Linked DNA regions of Kluyveromyces lactis. The main gene of each other region encodes a partner of the protein of the gene in region 2 in a complex. Links are inferred from orthologs where the notes say so. Each region holds a gene or a part of one and is shown on either strand. Other genes may lie near its edges. The genes, in order: CDC10, KLLA0_C01650g, CDC11, CDC12, CDC3, NAP1 and SHS1.

What was found.
Region 1: KLLA0_C01650g (region 2) and CDC10 share a complex: the UniProt entries of both Saccharomyces cerevisiae proteins name them as parts of the GIN4 complex. The link is inferred for Kluyveromyces lactis from reciprocal best matches to the Saccharomyces cerevisiae genes GIN4 and CDC10.
Region 3: KLLA0_C01650g (region 2) and CDC11 share a complex: the UniProt entries of both Saccharomyces cerevisiae proteins name them as parts of the GIN4 complex. The link is inferred for Kluyveromyces lactis from reciprocal best matches to the Saccharomyces cerevisiae genes GIN4 and CDC11.
Region 4: KLLA0_C01650g (region 2) and CDC12 share a complex: the UniProt entries of both Saccharomyces cerevisiae proteins name them as parts of the GIN4 complex. The link is inferred for Kluyveromyces lactis from reciprocal best matches to the Saccharomyces cerevisiae genes GIN4 and CDC12.
Region 5: KLLA0_C01650g (region 2) and CDC3 share a complex: the UniProt entries of both Saccharomyces cerevisiae proteins name them as parts of the GIN4 complex. The link is inferred for Kluyveromyces lactis from reciprocal best matches to the Saccharomyces cerevisiae genes GIN4 and CDC3.
Region 6: KLLA0_C01650g (region 2) and NAP1 share a complex: the UniProt entries of both Saccharomyces cerevisiae proteins name them as parts of the GIN4 complex. The link is inferred for Kluyveromyces lactis from reciprocal best matches to the Saccharomyces cerevisiae genes GIN4 and NAP1.
Region 7: KLLA0_C01650g (region 2) and SHS1 share a complex: the UniProt entries of both Saccharomyces cerevisiae proteins name them as parts of the GIN4 complex. The link is inferred for Kluyveromyces lactis from reciprocal best matches to the Saccharomyces cerevisiae genes GIN4 and SHS1.

What each region holds. Positions count from the first base shown.
Region 1 is NC_006042.1:1,182,910-1,185,744, reverse strand, and holds CDC10 (septin CDC10), read right to left. Parts: upstream 1,515-2,835; coding exon 501-1,514; downstream 1-500. Other genes in the region: MRPL32 (mitochondrial 54S ribosomal protein bL32m), read left to right, coding at 2,058-2,615. UniProt on the Saccharomyces cerevisiae protein: Septins are GTPases involved in cytokinesis that assemble early in the cell cycle as a patch at the incipient bud site and form a ring approximate 15 minutes before bud emergence, which transforms into an hour-glass shaped collar of cortical filaments that spans both sides of the mother-bud neck.
Region 2 is NC_006039.1:126,689-130,918, forward strand, and holds the start of KLLA0_C01650g (uncharacterized protein), read left to right. Parts: upstream 1-1,430; coding exon 1,431-4,230. Other genes in the region: SUMO family protein SMT3, read left to right, coding at 254-535. UniProt on the Saccharomyces cerevisiae protein: Serine/threonine-protein kinase which regulates the localization and the function of the septins during mitosis. Phosphorylates SHS1.
Region 3 is NC_006038.1:1,258,307-1,261,380, reverse strand, and holds CDC11 (septin CDC11), read left to right. Parts: upstream 1-1,311; coding exon 1,312-2,574; downstream 2,575-3,074. Other genes in the region: TRP3 (bifunctional anthranilate synthase/indole-3-glycerol-phosphate synthase), read right to left, coding at 1-655. UniProt on the Saccharomyces cerevisiae protein: Septins are GTPases involved in cytokinesis that assemble early in the cell cycle as a patch at the incipient bud site and form a ring approximate 15 minutes before bud emergence, which transforms into an hour-glass shaped collar of cortical filaments that spans both sides of the mother-bud neck.
Region 4 is NC_006041.1:1,924,713-1,927,745, reverse strand, and holds CDC12 (septin CDC12), read right to left. Parts: upstream 1,686-3,033; coding exon 501-1,685; downstream 1-500. Other genes in the region: KLLA0_E21605g (thioredoxin-disulfide reductase), read left to right, coding at 1-59; TRP4 (anthranilate phosphoribosyltransferase), read left to right, coding at 2,165-3,033. UniProt on the Saccharomyces cerevisiae protein: Septins are GTPases involved in cytokinesis that assemble early in the cell cycle as a patch at the incipient bud site and form a ring approximate 15 minutes before bud emergence, which transforms into an hour-glass shaped collar of cortical filaments that spans both sides of the mother-bud neck.
Region 5 is NC_006040.1:348,291-351,684, reverse strand, and holds CDC3 (septin CDC3), read left to right. Parts: upstream 1-1,406; coding exon 1,407-2,894; downstream 2,895-3,394. Other genes in the region: HIF1 (Hif1p), read right to left, coding at 1-709. UniProt on the Saccharomyces cerevisiae protein: Septins are GTPases involved in cytokinesis that assemble early in the cell cycle as a patch at the incipient bud site and form a ring approximate 15 minutes before bud emergence, which transforms into an hour-glass shaped collar of cortical filaments that spans both sides of the mother-bud neck.
Region 6 is NC_006041.1:1,342,743-1,345,837, forward strand, and holds NAP1 (histone chaperone NAP1), read right to left. Parts: upstream 1,755-3,095; coding exon 501-1,754; downstream 1-500. Other genes in the region: ribulose-phosphate 3-epimerase RPE1, read left to right, coding at 2,338-3,051. UniProt on the Saccharomyces cerevisiae protein: Acidic protein, which assembles histones into an octamer (in vitro). Involved in the regulation of the localization and the function of the septins during mitosis. Involved in the function of B-type cyclins.
Region 7 is NC_006042.1:1,938,519-1,941,844, reverse strand, and holds SHS1 (septin SHS1), read right to left. Parts: upstream 2,157-3,326; coding exon 501-2,156; downstream 1-500. Other genes in the region: GCR2 (Gcr2p), read left to right, coding at 3,009-3,326. UniProt on the Saccharomyces cerevisiae protein: Septins are GTPases involved in cytokinesis that assemble early in the cell cycle as a patch at the incipient bud site and form a ring approximately 15 minutes before bud emergence, which transforms into an hour-glass shaped collar of cortical filaments that spans both sides of the mother-bud neck.

The DNA.
Region 1 (2,835 bases), on a different chromosome or scaffold from region 2:
AGAGGATATGACAAAATAGAACATTTTAGTATCTGGAATAAAATTTAAACACTGAATGTCTTCATGTAGACACTAATATGCAGTGATGATACATTGTAGATTACTCTGGAGCTTGTCTACACTAATTTATTCGCATACATCTGCTCAGTACAAAAATGGGAGGACAACAGCACCGTCCAATTTCTTAGACTTTAATTACCAGTTGGTTATACGTGATGTAGTATTATAGTTAACTAATGGGGTTTATAAATCCTAAAAAGAGAATGTGATATATAAAAAAGAGATTAAGAGACGTTTGACAAGTAGAAATAGAGAGACATTACCAATTATCAATAAGATATATGGAAATGAAGCGACATTTTACTAGGGCAGGATTCAAACCAGTGAAGAACACAAAAAAAATAATTGGCACAGCTCTTGCGTACCGGTAAAACGCTACATTTTTTTGAAATAAAGACGCCGTTTCTTCTAGAAGTCTTCCCGGCTCTTTTTTCCACCTATTAACGCAGCATTGTTGTTGATGTCTGAGACATGTGTGCAGAAGTTCTAGCGTTGGCGTTCTCCTTCAAAGCAATCAATTGCTTGGATCTGAAACTTTCGTAGTGGATCAAAGCTGTAGTCTCAATCAAATCTTGCAAGTGTGTCCTGATCAAAAATTCTCTTAAATATACGAACTCACATTGGTTGATGTCTTCGACATTGATGGCACCCCAACGAGTTTTTCTTCCTCTTACTAGTTCACCGTTCACTGTAATCTCCTTTTCAGATCCTACAACGGCAAATGGAATAATAGATCTTATACTTTTATTCAGTTCCACTTCTTCATCGGTCAGATCGTCTAAATCATATGGATAGATTCTGAAATTGTACTTTTTAAATTCTTCTTGTAAGATGTTTCTGAAGTTAGCTCTCTCATTCAACGTCAAAGTATCAGCTTTAGCGATCACCGGGATAACATTAGCGATTTCTGTCAATCTCTTCAAAGCAGCAACGTCAAGTTCTGTTAGACCCTTACCGTTAGGTTGGATGAAATATAACACTGCATGTACTCGAGTGTCTACAATGTGTCTTTCACGTTGAGCAGTCAACTCTTTACGTAAATATTGAGAGTGTTGCTCCTTGATGTACTTGACAATAGGTTCCCAAACTTTGTCGTTATTTATCTGGTCACCAAAACCTGGAGTGTCAATCACGTTCACGTTCAAACGTACACGGTCTTCCAATAAAGAATGTGTTGAAACCTTGATCTCGGTGGTCTTACTAATTGGTTCCTGAGTGATGTCCTTACCAGTAGAAGAATCAACCAAGTGAGATGCAAACAAAGTGTTGATCAAAGTACTCTTACCCAGACCAGAATGTCCAACGACCATAACGTTGAATTGAAATCCTCTCTTCAACAAACGATGTTCAATCTGTGAAGTAATCGAATCAAACCCAACATAAGAAGATGGATTTACCAAAGCCAACCCATCAGAAGAAGAAGTCATACCAGCTGCAGCAGTACTAGATGCCATTGTTTTTGTTTATGCGTGTATTTTACCTTTAATAATTCCTTTCGCGTAGTAGAGATGTATATAAGTCAAATCCAAATGATCAAAGCTTTACGTGTTTTAGTGTTTGGAAGTTAAAATAATGAAAAACCTCTAAGTTATAAAAACAATTAACCGCAATAACAAAAATTCAAACAATGAGTAGCAATTAACCACAGAAACGTCAAAAAAAAGTAATCACAATCTTACTTATTCTAAAGAATACAAGATCTGATTCCTTACTTATATTTTGTTGACACACTTATTTCGTTTCGAGTTCCATTTTTAGTTTTTGTGATTTTTCGTCTTTTTCATCGAAATCGAAAAAGGGACACAGATCATCACCAAATCAGGGTAATGTTGAAAATTCTTTCTTATAATCCAATTCGTCAATACCAATTTGAATTGACGAAGTTCAAACAGAGTTAGACGAGCGACCTAGAGAAACTAGTATCTGTCCCTATCGATTGAACTTATCCTTTCTCCTCTTCATCATAGTATCATACCAGCAGCGAAAATAATTAGAGGATGTCTTTTGGAGCTGTAACGGAATCTTTTAGCAGAGTGTTGCTGGAAACAGCGACATCAATATTGCCTCGTTGGAGCACTCCAGCAGCTGGTACTGCATTGCCACAGAAACTGCTGGAATTGCTTGAAAGAAACCAACGTGAAAAGTCTTCACCTCAAGCGGATTACTTTACGAATAACGGGATCCTTCTAGCTGTGCCCAAGAAGAAAGTGTCGCATCAGAAGAAGAGACAAAAGTTATATGCGCCTGGAGACAAACAGCTGAAAATGATCAACCATTTGAACAAATGCCCTTCATGTGGGCATTACAAGAAGGCACATACGCTATGTATGCATTGTGTGGGTGAAATCCGTCACATCTGGAAGGCTCACACTAACGTTGAACAAGTGGAGCCTATTCAAGAACAAGAGTTGTCTGAATTGGACAAGCGTATCTTGTATCCTGGTAGAAAAGAAACTGAATACACAAAGAAACTGAAGGACAAGGATGCTTATTTGGAGAGACGTATGAAAACTCTGCCAGTGGAGAGATCTGAGAAGAAAGAAGGATCACATTAAACCCTCTTCTCATTGAATCCAGTACAAAATAACACATCGGCGGAAATGACTAAAAAAAAACAACCTTTTATCAAGTTCAATCCCCCCATCACCTTGTATATATATGTCGAATACACGTCCCAGATTTTAGCAGGTTATTTCAGTGTCAGCATTCACCTCCTGTAGTAATAGTTAGATTCATTATCTCATCACAATCAACTCTACATAGAATCAAATCACA
Region 2 (4,230 bases):
TTCATGCTCTCAAAAGGAAGAAGGAAACTGCTTTTTGTTAGAGCTCTTTTCCATGTCAGTTGACAGTCGAATTTCAGGACTACAGTATTTTTTTTTTTTGGCCAGGAATTAGTTCAACAATACAAATTACCTTAACAAACAAAAGCTCAATCTATACTGCCGAGAGTTAGAAGAAGAAAAAGCGAGTCTTTAAACATTCATTGAATCCTGTTTCTCCATTCTTCAACGCCTATATATATAACCACAGTTTGAAATGTCAGAAGAACAAGAACAAAAGGTGGATGTTAAGCCAGAAACACATATTAACTTGAAGGTTTCGGATGGATCCAGTGAGATCTTCTTCAAGATCAAAAAGACCACTCCATTAAAAAGATTAATGGAGGCATTTGCTAAGAGACAAGGTAAAGAGATTGAATCCCTAAGATTCCTTTACGACGGTGTGCGTGTGTTACCAGATCAGACCCCTGAAGATTTGGACATGGAAGATAACGATATCATTGAAGCTCACAGAGAGCAAATTGGTGGTAGTTTGTAATTGGGAGTGTACTTTGCAGCAGTAAGTGGGATCAACTACAGCATTCCCATCCTTTTTTATCTTTCAATGTAACCTATCTAATGTTATAATAACTGACTATGTATCTGGAATATTAAAACTACTTTGGATGAACAACAAGAAAAGTGCCCGCAAGCTTATCTGCATTTCCCCAGGGAAAACAGTCGGTATGGAATTAGAAATGAAATCCGAATGGAAAGAAAAAAGAGATTGGGTATCAAATGGCAGGGCTTATAACAGACCTCCTGCAAATTACCACCCTTGTATTCCTATTTCGATTCGAAAAGCTAGGTTTGCTTCAAGTTTCGCGTTTTTAGGTCTTTTTTTTTTCAAGTCATTTTCCTTCCTAGTATGGTGAACATTCTTTTCAATTAGTATAACTGTTACAGTAAATGATTTTAGAAAGAATAATTTACCAGAAGTGGAAGAAATATTAGCTGTCTTGTTAATAGTTTTCTGCCACACTCGTTTTGAATTTGGTAGGTTTTTTCTTCCATTGTTATTTGGCATACATATATACCAAGACGTGAAGTTTAATTGTGTTTTTCTTTGGTGAAAATTGTACCTGAGGGAAATACTGAGAAATTGAGACAAGGCTCATCACATAAAACTGGAAGTAGATTAAACCATAAAAGTTATCGTGAAAAAAATAATTTCAATTCACTTCAACCATCTTCAACCACGACCAATTGAATTCACTAGACGGTACCAGATATCAGACATAGAGAGTTATTTATCTAGGCAAGCGAATCTCACTCTGATAAAAACGATATATTACACCACATTCATTCTCATAAGAAATTATCATTCAAACCTTTACGCGACTGGGGAACATTATAACTTGTAGCTTGGCCAATACTATCACAATATATCAGAAATGAACGGTAACGGAATAACGACGTTAAAGGGTGACACAATTGGCCCGTGGAAGTTGGGCTCGACACTGGGTGTTGGCTCAACAGGTAAAGTCGTAATGGCCTATAATGAAACTAAAGGACAACAAGCCGCTGTGAAAATTATATCAAAATCAATATTCAACGCTCAAGGGTCGACAATGATTGGTGGTAACGATCCTGATGTCTTACCCTATGGTATTGAACGTGAAATTATCATTATGAAGTTGTTGAATCATCCTAATGTCTTGAGATTATACGATGTTTGGGAAACTTCAAAAGATTTATATATGGTTTTAGAGTACGTTGAAAAAGGTGAGTTATTCAACTTGTTGGTGGAAAGGGGCCCATTACCTGAGAATGAGGCAGTCAGATTTTTCAGACAGATAATTATCGGTATTTCTTACTGCCATGCGTTAGGTATAGTTCATCGTGATTTGAAGCCTGAAAATCTTTTATTAGACCATAAATTCAATGTCAAACTAGCCGATTTCGGTATGGCAGCACTAGAATCAAAAGATAAATTACTGGAAACTAGTTGTGGTTCGCCTCATTACGCGGCACCCGAAATTGTCTCGGGCTTGCCATATCACGGTTTTGAATCCGATGTTTGGTCATGTGGTGTTATTCTTTACGCTTTACTGACCGGTAGGTTGCCATTTGATGAAGAAGATGGCAATATCAGAAATCTCTTGTTAAAGGTTCAAAGTGGGAAATTTGAAATGCCTGGAGATGATGAAATATCATCGGAAGCCCAAGATTTAATCGCCAGAATCTTAACAGTAGATCCAGAACAAAGAATCAAGACAAGAGAGATCCTAAAGCATCCACTTCTAAGAAAATACCCAAGCATTAAGGACTCTAAATCCATTAGAAACTTACCTCGAGAAGATACCTATTTGAATCCACTATCATTAGAAGGAGGAAATCAATGCGTAGATGAAACTATTTTGCAGAATTTGGTTGTTCTATGGCATGGTAGAAATAAGGAAGACATTATTACGAAGTTGATGGAACCTGGTGCTAATTTAGAAAAGACTTTTTACGCTTTACTGCATAGATTTAAACACGATAATTACCAAGATCAATTGAAGCAACAAGAATTACAAAAGAAACAATCTGTCTCTTCGAATTCGCTGATGTACGTTGGATCTTTACCATCTCCTAATAAATCTGATTCCCCAGTCACCACTCCAAAGAAGAAAAGAACATCAATCATAGTTGCCTCATCTTCTCACAAAAGACCTGTATCAATGCAAAAACTGAGTAGCCAACATAGCTCACCAGTGAAAAACGGCTCAATAGGTAAACGTTTGAGTAAGACTTTCCCTTCAAACAAGAGAATTTCACAGCTAGTCTCCAATTCGTCTTCTCCAACCCCTGCTGCTCATAAAAGAGTTTCCAGGATAAACGATAGTGCAGCTCCACCCGTCCCTAAAGAAATGCTTCGTGACTACAAAAGACAATCAAAGAGACAATCCAAAAGATTCTCTCTACTGCCTAATATGAAGCGTGGATCTATAACAACGAAACTGATTGCAACGTATGCAAAACTTTCCGAAGACAGTGAATGGGAATACATCGAAAAGGAAACGAAAAGGACAAGTCAGGACTTTGCTACATTGATGGATCAGATTTTCGAGCATGAGAAATACGAACAAATACGGAAAGAGAAGGAAGAGTTGGAAAGAAAAGTCAACGAAGCTCGTGAGAAGGAGGAAGCTGAAAGAAAGGAACGGGAAAGGATCGAGCGGGAGGAGCAAGAAAGACTTGAAAGAGAAGAACGAAAGCGAGCTGAAAGACAGAAGGAATTGCAAGACCAAATGGAAGACGAAATTGCTAAGCTCAAGGCGGAATATGAAGCTGTTCAGGGGAGCTCGGATGAAAGAAACACAGCCAATGGAAGATCTGTCTCTGCTCCGATAGAGACCGATAGAACTGCAAACAAAAGAGATAGTACATTCGGTATAAAGAATGACATCAATGAACTAATCAATACAAGAAACTTCTCTCTACAAACGAGACCAGTTTCCAGACTTGACCCTGGTATCATAGCTGCTGAAAGTAGACTGTCAGCTAACCTAGAAGATGACCAAGCGTCAAAGGAAAAGACTATTCTGGAAACCATTAGACGCTCCAAATTCCTTGGATCGCAATTTAACTTGAACGTTGAATTAGAGAAAGCCCAAAAGGATTTAGTATCTAAAGAGAGACAAGAACAATTGAGAAAGTACTCTGAACAGACTGCAAAGTACGAGGTTCAAAAGTTACCCAAGAATGCTAAAGCAGTTGCAACTCTCAGAGATGACGAAGTTGAACCCAGAAAGCTCTCAGAAGTCAAAGTTCCACAATTTACAAGGAGGTCAAAACATTTCTCTTCCTCTAACAAAAGATTTTCTGTATTGTCACTGTATTCAACTAAGACTTCATTCACGAACCTTGTGGATCATTTGAAGAACGATAATTATCTTGAACCTCTACCTGGCCAACCTGAATACTCATCATCCAAGGTTGCACAGGAACCAGAATTCATGTTTGAGACCGTTGAAGAGCTTGATGAAAATTCTAAGCTGTTCGAAGTACCAGAAACAGAGGAAGGAAAACTAGCTTCTGCCGCCAGAAAGGAATCTACTGATGCCAGAAAACAAAGTACTAATGATAAGGATATTAACTTGCCGTCGTTACCTCCATTGCAGGTATCTCATGACGTAGCCGACGAGAATGGAGCATTAGGGCTTGGCATTTACCAGCCAAACGATCAGACACAAAAGCCCCACAAAACAA
Region 3 (3,074 bases), on a different chromosome or scaffold from region 2:
TCGCTTTATCAGTGCTGGCTGTCTTTCCGAGCTCATTCCTAGCCAAGTTAGCTGCGTTCTCATCCCAAGTACCTCCTGATACTTCAAGAATATTCTTGATCATTTGATGCCCACTCTCGGTCAAGATAGATTCTGGATGGAATTGCACACCTTCCACAGTGTATTTCTTATGTCTCACACCCATAATAATTCCAGTCTCCGTTCTTGCACTAACTTCAAGCACATCAGGAAGTGTTTCCTTGGCGCCAGCAAGCGAATGGTACCGCGTCACTGCGACACCTTGAGGTACTTTTCTAAAGAAACCTTTTCCATCATGGAATATTGGTGAAGTCTTACCATGAACAATTTCTCCAGCAAAGCTAACTTCACCGCCAAAGACATCAAACATACATTGCTGACCCATGCAGACACCAAACACAGGGACTTTGCCGCAGAAGAATGCGATACAGTCTCTTGATATCCCGGAATCGGTCTCTGGATGACCTGGACCCGGTGAAATCATGACAATATCAGGGTTCAATGCTTCAACTTCTTCCACAGTAATCTTATCATTTCTGAAAACTAAAACTTCAGCACCCTCAGTGCAAAGATATTCATAGATGTTCCAGGTGAACGAATCGTAGTTATCGATCAAAACAACTCTTTTAGCGGACATGATATCAAATTAATGCGAAAACCTAGTTCCTTTTTATCACAGTATAGTGTAGTTGCCCTACTAGATAATTATCAACCAAATATAACCAATCGATAAGAAATTATCGAAAGTTTCTTCTTACAATTATTTCAATGCCCTTTAAGGGTTCCTTTAAATATAAAATCGTCTTGAACATGAGATGATTAACTGGTTCCACATCACAATTCGAGATGAGTCAAGAGAAAGCTTTGATGAAATGAGAAATTGAATCGAATTTCGTCCTAAATGATAAATATGTATGTGATGTACGGATGTGTCAACATTCAAATCCACATTCTTAAGGCAATTGTGCATCGCTGGATTGATTATTCCGTAATCTGACTTCCAAGTAACAATCTATAACCTCTGTTCAATTAGCTGAGCCCCTCTATCATCCATCAAATGCTCTTTCACCGTCGAATACCTACTCTTTCTCTGTTTCCTCCATACTAAATTCCAGATTCCTCAGAGTAACGAATTTAGAATCAGATCGGAAACGTGAAACTTTAAACAAACAACTAACACGTAAACAACACAATTAACAGAAGAGCTGCTCAGAGGTCTTATTAGCACCTAATTTCTGTCGGGGTATTGAATTGGGAAACAAAAGCACTGCTACAATTGTAATTTAGACAGAAATGGCAAGTATTATTCAGGCATCTGCCGCTTTGCGTAAACGGAAGAACTTGAAGAGAGGAATTCAGTTCACGGTGATGGTTGTTGGTCAGTCTGGGTGCGGTAGGTCGACGTTCATTAACACTCTATGTGGACAGAAAGTGGTAGATACTTCTACCACGATTATGTTACCAACGGACACAAATACGCAGATTGATGTGCAATTGAGGGAAGAAATCGTTGAGTTAGAAGACGAAGAAGGTCTTAAGATCCAATTGAATATCATTGATACTCCGGGATTCGGCGACTCTTTGGATAATTCTCCATCGTTTGACATTATCTCTGATTACATTCGTCACCAGTACGATGAAATTTTGTTGGAAGAGAGCCGTGTAAGGAGAAATCCTCGGTTTAAAGATGGTAGGGTGCATTGTTGTTTATATTTGATCAATCCTACTGGACATGGATTGAAAGAGATTGACGTGGAATTCATCAGAAGACTAGGTACTCTAGTGAACGTGATCCCCGTTATCAGTAAAGCAGATTCCTTGACCGCTGAAGAGTTGAAATTGAACAAGAAATTGATCGCAAAGGATATCGACTATTATTCGCTACCTATCTACAACTTCCCATTCGATGAGGAAGACGCGTCAGACGAAGATTATCAAACAAACACATATCTCAGAGGTTTACTGCCCTTCTCTATCATCGGTTCCAACGATGTGTTTGAATCTGCAGACGGGTCCGTGATTCGTGGTAGAAAATATCCATGGGGAACCCTTGACGTCGAGGATGCTAACATCTCTGATTTCGTCGTCCTAAGGAACACTCTACTCATTTCACATTTACACGATATGAAGGAATTTACTCATGAGATCCTATACGAAAGATACAGAACTGAAGCCTTGTCCGGTGAGATGCCAACTGTAGGAACTACGACTCATAACAGAGCTTTCAGCACCACGAACAACGAATACCTAGGATCACCCGCTGTATCTGGTAGAGAATCTGTGAGGGGCAATGGATTACCATCTGCGTTGGGGAACAATGATTCGACTTCTTTACATTCTAACAACGCGTCATCGAACCAGGACACTTACTTGGCAAGAGAAGAACAAATCAAGCTAGAAGAAGAAAGATTAAGGGTTTTCGAAGAAAGAGTGCAACAAGAATTGCAATTGAAGAGACAGGAATTGCTGCAAAGAGAGCAAGAATTAAGAGAAATCGAAGAGAGGCTAGAAAAGGAAGCCCAATTGAAACAGGAAGGAATCAAATTGGAACAATAAGTTGTTGTCCCTTCCTGCACACTAAATAGAACTACATATTTCGTTTCTTTCTTTAACCTATACCTCAGTTATTACCATAAGATAGATAAAGCATTACGAACCATTTCAGGCTACTGGCTGCTAGTCGTGTGCTACACTTTATCGATGCCCTAACGATCAAGCAAAACCTCATTCATTTAAGAAAAAAATTCCCGAACGAAAACCATATAAAAGCCACTTACTTCGAGGCCGAAAATAAGACGAAAAAGACGGTAGAAGGATGGCTTCTGAGCACCAAATGGGTAGTACCAGGGGTACCAGGGATACCAGGTGTACCATGACCTAGTAAATCTCCTTTACATTATCTCACACAGCATGCCAGGAGGCGTGTGCCGTGTTCTGACAAGAAAACATCATGTATGAAGATGTGGGATGGAAAAGCTTTTAGATGATGAGTAACCAGATAGGGACAACAGATATTCGTTTAAGTGACGAGGAAAGTCTTTTAATTGCCCAGTTTT
Region 4 (3,033 bases), on a different chromosome or scaffold from region 2:
CTGGTTCCGGTTGTATGGCTGCTTTGGATGCTGAAAAGTACATCACTGAATTAGAATAGATACACATTGATAAATTTGGTGAGATTCCCATATCAAAGCTTTGATATTATGTCTATATCTTATATATAAATATCATCGCGACTACTCCTTTAATTGAAATTTATGTTTGTTCCTAGTTTCTCAGCAGGAGGAAGATTTTCTTTCATTAGTCTATAAGGCTCACCTTTCCACCGCTAGTCCAATATCTTCTATACTCTCCCTTCCGAGTAGAGAAAAAAAGAATAAATAATGATAACATATCATCTTTACAGCTTATATTGATATATAGGAAAGATCAATAGAAAGTAGTTTAAAATAACAACTGTGTGGACATCGTTCTACAAGGTTCAGAAATGGCATTATTCAATGAGAATAATGTGAGAATGGAAAATAACATAAAAATTGGGTTGTTAAAAGGAATATAAATGGGAATGAAAAAAACAATTTCGAACCATTACACCCTAGCGTTTTCTTAATTTCAATGTGGCCACTTGATCTTCTAATTTCTTTACTTCGGCTTGAATCTTTTCCAAATCACCGTTCAGTTTAATTCTTTCATTCACAATGTTTTGTTCCCACTGTCTGAATCTTTGTTCTTCGGCCTTAACTTGATCAGTGAAGTATTTTTTTAGTGCGTTTTCTTCTTCTTTGAACTTTGGATTATGTGATAATTTTCTTGCTGGTGCAGCAACGAAGTTGTTCGCCGATTTTTCTCCTAGTTCGTTATCGTTAGACGATCCATTCAAATGAGATTCCAAACGTAATCTCCTATAGGTTTCGTAATGTAGCTCTTGAGTGGATAAGACAAGATCTAACAGATTTGTTCTCAACAACAACGATCTCAATTTGCGGAAATCACAGTGTTGATCATTCTCTACTTCCACTAACCCCCATGGATATTTTCTTGCAACAACTTTGGTACCACTACCGTTATCGAATTGTTCTTCTGAACCAACAATTGCAAATGGCATGGATTCAATTAGTTGTCTAGCATGTTCCATAGCGGCTGCATCATCCTGTGTCTCATTCAAAGGTGGTGTAAAGATACGAATCTCTTGTGCCTCAATGACCTGTCTAATTCTAAGCTTGAAATCTTGTAATTCCTGACTTGTCAAAGTATCAGCCTTGGCGATTACGGGAATTAAGTTAGCACGAGTGCTGATCCTCTTCATAGTTTCAATATCCAATGGTTTCAAACCATGTCCTGTAGGTCTGATAAAGTACAGTACAGCGTGTACTCTTAGATCAAATTTCACATCTCTGTATGGTTGTTGTTCTTGACGCATATAGGAATCGTGTTGATCGTCTATAAAATCAATGATCTGTTGCCACGATTTATCGTTATTGATGTTGTCACCAAACCCGGGAGTATCAATTACATTCACCTTCAAGGTAAAATTCTTCTCCTCTAGTTCTGCACGTAATATATCAATCTCCACGGTCTTCCTAATTGGCCCTTGCATCGAACGGCCTGTATGGGAGTCAGATGGCTTCAATGTTGCCTGGAACAACGTATTTATGAAGGTAGTTTTACCCAAACCACTTTCACCGCATGTTAACAAGGTGAATACTCCACCTTGTTTGGATACCAGCTTGTAGATCTGATTTGGTAAATTCGAGATTCCTACAAATTCTTCCGTGGTCATTGTTTCAAAGTTCCGTTGCAATTAATTGGTACCAATTATACTATCTTTTGCTGAAGCACACAATGTTATATTTGCTAATGAACAGAAGGTCAGATTGTTACTGCAGGTAGCTACGATAACTCCTGTAAACAAACTGTAATTCCAATTTCAATTTTAATATAGGCTTGTTTTAGCCAGTATTCTATATTTGAACAAAGTTTCGAATTGTTTCGTGTCGAGGAATCCTAGGTTCCCAGGAACATTTCAGAGATCTCTCGAGCAAAGAAGGGTAGGGTAATGAGAAGCGAGTCACGTGCTTTCCAATGTATATTCTGTTATTTCTCGAACCGTGGATCTATATAGTCATTAACATATATCAAACTGGTACATAGAAAGATAATCACTTTGCGTTAAATAACGGCAAATCTACTCTCACTGCTAAGTAGTGCCTTCCTACCTTTAAGGTATCGCTGTGTTACCAGCTTCTACATTTTGTAACTATGAGTATTATTTCCTTTACGAAGAAGCTTTTGAAGAGCCCGCCTAGTTTGACTCCTGCAGAATTGCACGAAGTTATCGTTTACATAATTGATACGCTATCGAAGGAATTTACTGTGGAAGCTGTGGTACCGATTGCCTCTTTCCTTTCAGTGTTGAGAGCAACTGGATTGGATCACAAAGCTGAATATATTGCAGCTGCTGCCTCGGCTGTGTTGAAGTTTTCAACTGTTGTCGATTCAACGACCTTGACTCATACTGATGATATTGTCTTAGATATCGTCGGTACAGGTGGTGACGGCCAAAACACTTTTAACGTGTCTACTTCTGCAGCCATTGTCGCTTCGGGCATCCCAGGCTTGAAGGTTTGTAAACATGGTGGGAAAGCATCGACTTCCAATTCAGGTGCTGGTGATTTGATCGGAGTTTTAGGTTGTGATTCATCTAAGGTGACTGCGTCGACTTTACCTAAAATTTGGGATGAAAATTCGTTCACATTTCTATTGGCTCCTTATTTCCATGACGGTATGAAACATGTCGCTCTGCTCAGGAAAGCATTGGGTATCCCAACAATATTTAATGTCTTGGGACCGTTATTGCATCCTGTATCCCATGTTCAAAAAAGAGTTCTAGGTGTCTTCTCCAAGGAATTGGCACCTGAGTATGCAGAAGCAGCAAGACTTATCTATCCTGACAGTGAAACATTCGTCGTTTGGGGTGAAGTTGGTCTCGATGAAGTATCACCTGTAGGGAACACTATTGTTTGGCATGTGACCTTGAATGGTACCGTCGAATCATTCTCTATAAACCCGTCAGATTTCGGTTTACAAGAGCATACTCTTGCAGAATGCCCATCGTTGGGCCCTCGCGA
Region 5 (3,394 bases), on a different chromosome or scaffold from region 2:
ATTCTTCGAAATCATGAGAAGCCTGAGAGAAATTTTCGCATTCTAGTGAGACTTCACCCAACAGGTCATAACATTCAGATAGTTTTAATTTTAGATCCTCGTTGTCTGGTGTTTCTTTCAAACTGGATTCATAGTATGACCTTGCAAGCTCTAGAATCTCCCATGCGTTTTCGAAATCATCTTTGTCAACTTCCTCTTGGCCTTCGACTTGATCTTCTTCCTCTTGCTCCTGATCTTGTTTTTGTTCTTCCTCTTCCTCTTCCTCCTCCTCCTCCTCCTCCTCCTCTTCCTCTTCCTCTTCCTCTTCCTCTTCCTCCTCCTCTTCTTCTTCTTCTTCTTCACCAAATTGAATCAGCCCAGGTCCTTTCGAGGCAGAATCATCTTCGTCTTGTTCTTCGTTATGTTCATCCCTCTTAACATTAGATCCCATACCAAAGACATCAGACCTGCTCAAAGCCAATTGGTACAATGCCTTACCATACAAAAACAAATATTCAGGGTTTGGATTCTCATTCTCACTGTCATACAATTGATTTAAATCTGCATAAGAATCGACTGCAAGTTCATAATTCTTACCAGCATAGTGCTTGGCTCCTTCTGTCAATAATTTATCAAACTTGTCCGACATTTTAGATTCAATTCTACGATAATGGACTGAAATTGTTAAACAATTGATTTGCAGTGTGTGATTGCTAACAGCAGCAATCATTAAAACACGCAAACAATTTAAATAATGCACAGAGACGCGTAATATTCATCGCATTGCGCAATTGCTTAAAATACATGTCGTTATCAAAGAAATCAAACCGGTGAATCCAAATCACGTGATTGATTTAAAACTTGTGTAAATTTACAATAACCGGGTAACTGTTGACACGTGACTTAGGAATTCTTACGCCTCGAATCTAAAACACCTTGCTTGAATACCGTTCCATTGCAATGGACTCTACACTGAAAGAAAAAGACAAAGGCCGTAAATACTAGCCAATATATACATCCAAAAATAGGGCAGATGATATTGAAGCCAAATCAACTAAAGGAGACTTGCTTAAAGTAGTTTTACGTCTGTATGTACTTCTTATTTCTGTGCCTATTCAGTATCTTATTTTTGCTTCTTTTCTTCCTTTTCTATATTGACAGATCGATGTCTCGAAGAAATTTACAAAGAACGCGATTTAAAACCTAAACCACAAATATAGAAATTTAAATCGAGTAGATTATCTGGTTTATTATTTATAATTTTATACACGTAAATTCGGTTTTGATCTGGATCAACAGCATACACAGGTGTCAAGTCTTACTTTGAAAGTTGTTTAAAAGCCTCGGTTTAGGAGTGCATTGAATATCAGGCTAGCCAACAACCATAGCAGTGTGTGAAAGAAAACTGGAAAATATTATTATCCACAATGGCAGAAGTTATTAACGATACAGTCAAGTCAGAAGCTATTTCATTGAAGCATGAGGACTCCGTAGCTACTGGATTGGACAGCGTGAATCAAGACAACAATGTTGAGCAGACTTTTTCAGATGCAAATGGTGATGAAATCGCGCCAGCTGTGCAAGAATCAAATGGTACATTGGGCCAAGTTTTGCCCGATCAGCCAAACCTCAAGGTTGTTCGTCGTATCATCAATGGATACGTGGGCTTTGCTAATTTACCCAAACAATGGCATAGAAAGTCAATTCGTCGTGGATTCAACCTGAATTTGTTATGTGTTGGTTACAAAGGGTTGGGTAAATCTACGTTGATAAATACGTTGTTCAACAGAGAGTTGTACGAGCAAGACGCTCTATCCCATGGAGTACAGTCTTTAGATTTGGGTGATGGTAATGGCAACGATGTCAGTGTCAAGAAGGAAAATGGTGAAAACGGTCCAGCAGAAGAAAACAAAGTCAAGATCGAAACCGTTTCAGCTGAAATCGAAGAAAATGGAGTGAAATTGCAATTGACCGTGGTTGATGCACCAGGATTTGGTGATTCTATTGATAACACAGATTCATGGAAGCCAATTGTGGATGAAATAAATCGTAGATTCGACCAATATCTCGAGTCTGAAAACAAGATTCAAAGAACTACTTTGCAAGATAACAGGATTCATGCTTGTCTCTACTTTATCGAACCTACTGGTCATGGTTTGAAGCCGTTGGATTTGGAATTCTGCAAGCAGGTTCATTCCAAATGTAACTTGATCCCCGTTATCGCCAAATCTGACATCTTAACTGACGAAGAAATTGTCACTTTCAAAGCCACCATCAAGAAACAACTAGAACAAGCCAACGTGCAGTTGTTTGAACCACCTCAATATTCTATGCTGGGAGATGAAACTTCAACTGAAAACATCTTTGAAAAGATTCCTTTTGCCATTGTCGGTTCCACTGAACAAGTCACTACAGAAGACGGTAGAAAAGTTAGAGGTAGGGCTTACCCATGGGGTGTCATCGAAGTTGACAACACAAAACATTCTGATTTTGTATATTTAAGAGATCTATTAATTAGACAATACTTGGAAGAATTACGCGAAAGGACTAACAAAGTATTATACGAAAAATATAGATCTGAAAAGCTATTAGGATTGGGTATCAAACAAGACAACAGTGTCTTCAAGAATTTCGATCCAGAAACTAGACAAAAGGAGGAAAAACAACTACACGAAGTCAAACTAGCTAAATTGGAAGCTGAAATGAAGGCAGTATTCCAACAGAAAGTTGAAGAAAAGGAAAAGAAGTTACAGAAATCTGAAGCTGAATTGTTCGCTAGACACAAGGAATTGAAGGATAAGCTTACAAGCCAACTAAAAGCGTTAGAAGAAAAGAAGCGTCAACTTGAACTTTCCCTTGCTAACCAACCAACAAGCTCTCCAATTCCTGCTAAGAAGAAAGGCTTCTTACGTTAAGAAATGAGTAAGATGATAAATATAGTATAGTCTTCGTGAACTTCATCTGTATTTCACAAGATCTCCAGACATGTCTTTATTTTCTTTACATCCGTCTATCTTTTATCTAAATGTATAACTACGAATCTCAATAACTAAGCCAGCTGAAGCTAACTAATCAACACAATGTCAACGAGTGTAATGCATCACCATACAGTACATGTAACAAAGCAAAACGGTTAAGTGCCCAGCTAGCTGCGACACAACTAACGTAAATTTTGTGGGTCTGTTAATGCGGTTAAATCAAGGTAATTCGCACAGTTTAGTAGGGAGATTTCGACTTGCCTTTTTTCTGTCGCTTTCGGTCGTTGAGAGATTACTGCTGTACTCGACTCTTTTACTAAAGCCCAAGAGGGAAAAAAAAAAAGGAAAGTCAATAAAGGTAAAGAAATATGTATGTGGATGTAGTAAGTGCAACTCAGTATGATAATATGTAAGCGTTCAGCATAAATCTCTCGAAA
Region 6 (3,095 bases), on a different chromosome or scaffold from region 2:
AGATCAGATATGTTTCTAGATCCACGGATTATTTCGTGCCTTGCCAGTAGTCTTGTCACCATTCCTTGCTATTACCCAAAAAGTAAGCAATAAACAGACTTGCTCCCTATGTACTTTCATTCGTAATCTGCTCGTAGTTCTTTTTGCTATACACTTTTGCTGTCTTTAGGGCTCTTAGTTGTGCCTTTTCAGCCCATTTTTCTTACTGGTAACGGGGCCTTCAGGGGTTCAGACCGTTAGACCGTTACTTCCGTTTGACTTTGACACCACATGATGTGCATGTCCAGACCTTATGGCCATATATTTCCACCTGCTTAAAATAAGAACAGGTGGAAAACCGCGCACAAATTGTATGCATGCCAGGCACCGTCCGTATCTGGAACATGCGTTGAGTAGATTGATGCAAGGCCACAGCTTAGGGTGATGTTTAGATAGAGAGTAAATACTTTTGATAACCACTGCTTACTATATATCGGTGGATGTGAAAAAAAAAATCTCTTTCAGGATTGCTCGCATTCTGGAGGTTGGACTTTCTTCAGAGCATCTTTATTAGCGAAGTCGTCCTCTTCTTCCTCTTCTTCACCGTCCTGATCGTCAAATTCATCGTCGTCTTCTTCTTGTTCATCGCCGTATTCTAATTCTAGTGCTGCACCGGTGAACCAATCCACTGCCCTTGGAATCAACTTGTCCTTGATCTCTTCACCGATAGCATAATCTACAGCCAATCTACTCTCAAGTTCAGCGATTTCTTCTTCGTCAAGATCGTCTTCTTCTTCGGGATCCAGAGACTTTGGTGGGTCAAAGAAGTTGAAGAACGATTCCACTGGTGTCAGCTTTTCAATGGTACGAATTTGTTTAGTAGTCTTGTTCTTTTGTTTTCGTCTTTTCACTTCGACTGTAACGTTATGGTCATTATCGACCCAGTTAATGGTTTCACCCTCTGCATGGTCATAGATGAAGTCGCCAGAGTAACCCAATTCGGACTGGTAGTAGTATGTCTTTGTTAAAGTTTCGTTAGTGAAGAATTCGTTCTCTTTATCGAAGGTGAAAATCAATTGGAAGCCTGGTTTACCCTCAGTTAGATACTCTAGAGTGATGTTCGTCAAGTATGTCAATACATCACAGTCAGCTTCTGTCACGTTTTGAGAAACCATTGGTAAGTTCTCCATGGCTGTCAACCAGAAACAAGGGACACCAACGATCTCTTCCTCACCTTCCTCCGGTTCCTGGTCATGCTCTTCTTCTTCATGCTCATCTTCACCATCCAAAGATCCCCCGCGTTTGATTTCTTCTTCAGTGGCTTCCTTATCACCTGTGATCAACTCGTAACGGTGTTCGTGTAATGGTTTGTATTTCTGCAGATATTTTTGTTCAAGTTCCAACATTTCAAGCTGGAAATTCTTCTCCAATTCGAACAAATCGGACTGAATAGCCTTTAAGGCTAAGATCCTATTGTTCACAGCTTTTGGGAGTCTTTCGAAAGCTTCTTCATCGCCTTCTTCCTCTTCCTCTTCTTCTTCTTCTTCACCCTCATCTTCTTCGTCTATGTTCAAGAACTCCAACTTTTCATTGATCCGGGATAAAGATGGACTCTCGTTGTATTCGCTATCGTCATCCTGATCTTGATCCTGGTCAGACTGCTGCTGTTGCTTCTTCCTTAAATATGAATCCTTAAGCACGCTAGCTGGTGTGTTATGAGGCGTTGGTGCATTATCGATCTTACTCGACCTCGATGTCTTGATAGGGTTGGACATTTTTATGATGTGATCCTTACTATTTTGCCAAATACACTCAAATGTATACAGCTAATGTAGTTCAAATATCCTGCTGCAACACTCCAAGTATCACAAATAGCCCACTACCTCTACGATCAGATGTTCCAAGCTGTTACGTTTCCTACTGAAAGAAAATTTTCTGGCTAAAAAATGCTCTTCTTATATATTCCTTACATATTAAAATAGATCACGGAAGCATGCAAATACTGCAACCGTATGCCAATTCAAAGGACTAAATCGTACCAATTCCTGGTAAAAAAACTCGGAATAAAGCACTCCTGATATCAACGGTACATTATATAATGAATCTTGAGCTGTAAAATACTCTGAAGTAATCCTGATCCCCTCTTCTTTCTCTCAATAGTCGCTTTCTTTGGATATCAGAATTTCAGTTTTATAAAGAATGCAATAAAATTAGAAAAAGCAGCAGGGAATTCTTTTCAAACAAGAACCAACTACCCAATTAACGGTCTGCTCTGCTCATTATAGAATACGATTTACCATTACCTGTTCGAGTTTAAGGTCAGCAGTTTACAAAACTATAATAAGTTTCAATTTTAACATGGTTCGTGCTATTATTGCCCCATCTATTCTAGCCAGTGATTTCACTAAATTAGGTTGTGAATGTCACAATGTGATTAACTCTGGTGCCGATTGGTTACACATCGATATTATGGATGGTCACTTCGTTCCTAATATGTCATTGGGACAACCGGTTGTCGAATCGCTACGTAAAGTTATCGGAAAGTACAACGATCCAGACACCAAGTTACCAAGAGCATTCTTCGATTGTCATATGATGGTTAGTGAACCTGAAAGATGGGTCGAAGATTTTGCTAGGATCGGTTGCGATCAGTTCACATTCCATTACGAGGCTACAAAGGACCCGGTAGCGTTGGTTAAGCTAATTAAGAAGCATGGTATGAAGGCTGCCTGTTCTGTGAAGCCAGGTACCCCTGTGGATGTGTTGTACGAGTTGGCACCATCCCTGGATATGGCTCTTGTAATGACTGTCGAACCGGGTTTCGGTGGCCAAAAATTCATGGCCGATATGATGAGCAAAGTGAAGGACTTGAGAACTAGATTTCCTAATTTGAACATTCAAGTCGATGGTGGTCTTGGTAAACAGAATGTCGAACTTGCTGCCGAGGCAGGTGCCAATGTCATTGTTGCCGGTACCTCTGTGTTCCGCGCGCACGACCCAGCAGATGTCATTGGATTTATGAAAACCAAGGTCAATGATGCATTAGTGACCAAAGGTTTATACGAAAAGTAGTAAGTACCTAAGTACATATACGCACTCTTTTTTATGTCAGAATA
Region 7 (3,326 bases), on a different chromosome or scaffold from region 2:
ATTCGGTTAAATCTCTTTTCCTATTATTTCCCCCAGTGCCTTTTCTCATCGTCGCTGAATGAATGTTGTTTCTTGATGTTTTTAATTGCCATCGGGAACATTATTTTGCATTTTTCGGTTTTCTTAGTTCTCTCCAGTTACACTAGCTATTTTTTATCTTGAAGCACTGGATGAACATAAATTTTTCACCAATCTTTTTTATCTCATAATACTATGTCATCTGAACAGATAAATTCCATTTATTGATAAGTGGCACGAAAATACCTTAACTCATTATTATATTATATATATATATATACCTGTAACAGTACGTATATTTTTCTGATTTTTACATCACCATCTTAAACTCATCAAATTTGGAAACAGGTAGCAGATCAATCTAGACGTGACCGTTTGCAATATACAAAATAATCAATATTGTTTAAATTACATATGAAATCGTTTCAGGAACCAAACACTTCGACTTACAAAAATGCCAAAGAAAGATATCAAGACTGAATTCATTCTTTTTTGCTGATTATCGAAGCTAAATCGTTATAGGTTTCCTCTTTCTTAATGTAAGCACCTCCAGAAGTTGAATTTTGTTTAGTTGTATTAGTCTGGATAGATTCTTGAGATTGACTATGTGAGTTTTGTCTTAGTAGCTTTTCCTTCATCTTCAATTCAATAGCCTTTCTTTCAAGTTCTTGAATTCTCTTTTGTAACTCTTTGGCAGATTGTGCCTCCAATTCTTCAAGCTTTTGTTTCCTTGCTACTATGCGCTCGTGCTGAAGCATGTATGGGATATTTTCGGAAATATTCCGTAACTTTGTTCTTTCTGGAGAAGTTTGAATATTGGCAGGAGTAGATTTCTGTGAACTGGCAGAGATTGAAGCGCGAGACTCATCTCCTTCATCTACCCCGGTTAGACGTGGTGTAGATGGGGTTTCAGATTGAGGTGGAATTGCAAGTGATTGTTGAGACTTAAACTTTCCTGTATTTATTAGAGAGGCGAAATTTGACAAGGATGGAGCTGTACTGTTTCTAGTCAACCCTTTCATCAACCCTGAAGAATTACCCTCATTGTTTTCGTCATTGATAGAAGTATCTATAACTTCGTTGTTTTCAATGTCCCAGGCTGGCACAGACGCCAATTTCTCAGCACGGTAGTTTTCATACAACAGATTTTGTGTCGTGTCCTTAAACTCTTGCAAATGGGACCCGAAGAGAACCCTTTTCAACAATTTCAAGTCCGAAATGTTTTCATTATCGATGTCAATTTTACCCCATGGATACTCACGATAGTATTTACCGGTAGCATTATCGCGTTGGTCGGCGCAGATAATAGCAAACGGCTGAAGTCTCGCTAATGCCTTGTTCTCTTCAATTGTTTCTAGATCATCCTCATTTTCGTCAACTTCGAATTTGTAGATAGGAACGTTAAATCTATCAATGTCTTCCATAATTCTCTTCTTGAACCTAGTCAATTCATCAGGTGTGAACGAATCTGCTCTAGCGACAATTGGTAGAACATTTGTGTAGCGGGATAGTCTCTTCATAATTTCAACATCCAATTCACGTAACCCATGTCCCGTGGGTTCAATAAAGTATAACGCGACATGAACTCTTGTATCCTGGAACCTTGGATTTCTCTTGATTCTGGTCTCCTCAGCGAGTACCGAATCAAATTGTTGCTCCAAATATGAAGCAATCTCATCGAAACAGATCCCATTATTTAAGTTTTCACCCAGTCCCAGGGTGTCGGTGAGAAAGAAATTGATCTTTTCAGGGGTAGCGCTATCGATATCCTCACTAGATTTCGTCGTGATCTCCAGGGCAGTAGACGTCACAGTGATACCTGGTTCCAAAAACGGCGAGGCTGGATCAAATGCCGACATGTAGCTGGGAATACCGTTCATCGAATTGAACGTGACAACCTTAGTTGGTTGGATAATCTTAACATTCTCGTTATTCGTGCTAGCTGGAACATCTTGTTGATATCTATGAGGGAAAATGGTAGATTCCAATAAATTGTTAGCGAAAGTGGTCTTACCAGTACCAGAAGCACCAACCAACATCATCGAGAAAGTAATACCTCTCTTCTCCTTCTTTCTACGGAACACACTGACCCCATTGTTGCTTGGTGAGAATACCTGAGATACAGGACTAGCGGACATCTTTTTATTGCTTCCAAGATCAAACGGCTTCACTTTTCACTTCCAATTATATTCTAAATAGAATCGCCAAAGTACAATGATTCCTATCCAATTGATTGAAACTCGTCTCGTTCAATGGTTCACTTGATTAATGTAGCTCTGCAACGTATAGAATACACTTTTTTTATCAAAAGACGTTGTTGTTTCAGTCAAATTACATTCTCGTCTAAATTTAAATATGGAATTGATATCTTTTACGTGATATTAACCGTTTCGAAACTTTTCACCGATTAAAAGGCTCGAACATAGCCATGGGAAATGAGACACTCAAAGATACCTAAGGCAAGGACAAAAGTTACCAGTGACATGGGAACATCAAATGGTTACAGTTCGATGAACCACATATCGTAACTAGTCTATGTATTGGGGAACTAAGGCATATATACATATATATGGCGCCACTTCTTCACGTGACTTATATTTCTGTCTCAGTGATGTGAATGTATATGTCCGTCAGTGGATTACGTTATAAGTTGATAACGATCTTCGATCTAGGTCCGGCTAGCTTTGGTACTGCCTTGGTCTACATATGAAAGGCTTCGGATTTTAGCCCTTGCAGAAGGGCTCTATGTGTTCAATGAGATGCGTCTTTGTTTTGCAATTTTGTCGCTTTTAGTTCTTGCTAGAACATAAGGTGATGCAATGTGGAAATGTTGCACCTTAACGAAACGAAAGATAGAGAGAAAGAGAGAAAGAAATACACAGTAAGCGAGAAAATCTGCGGAAGCGGCAGCATACTTAAGGTCTTTGAACTGCTTGTTACGGACTTCAAAGATCGGCCCTCCCCTGCTACGTACACATACTGGAAGAGCCATGTCTGATATCGGGAGCACTTCACATAGTAGTCCGACAGGCATCATGCATCATCAGATCAAGCTCGACGTATTTTTGATCAAGGGTTACCAATTGATATCCAACGGAGAAGTCTTGGAGCTTCCCGAGCTATTGAATTCCACGATTAGTCCGAATCAGCAATCTCCTATATCGCTGAAACCCTTGGACGAACGTCATATGCAATATTTCCAAAGTCTCTCACAACTTTACGATGCTCTAGTGACAATCGTACCCTTAGATGAACAATCGAACGTACCCAAATCAAATATCGAATTGTTTCAGCGATTTCAACAGATA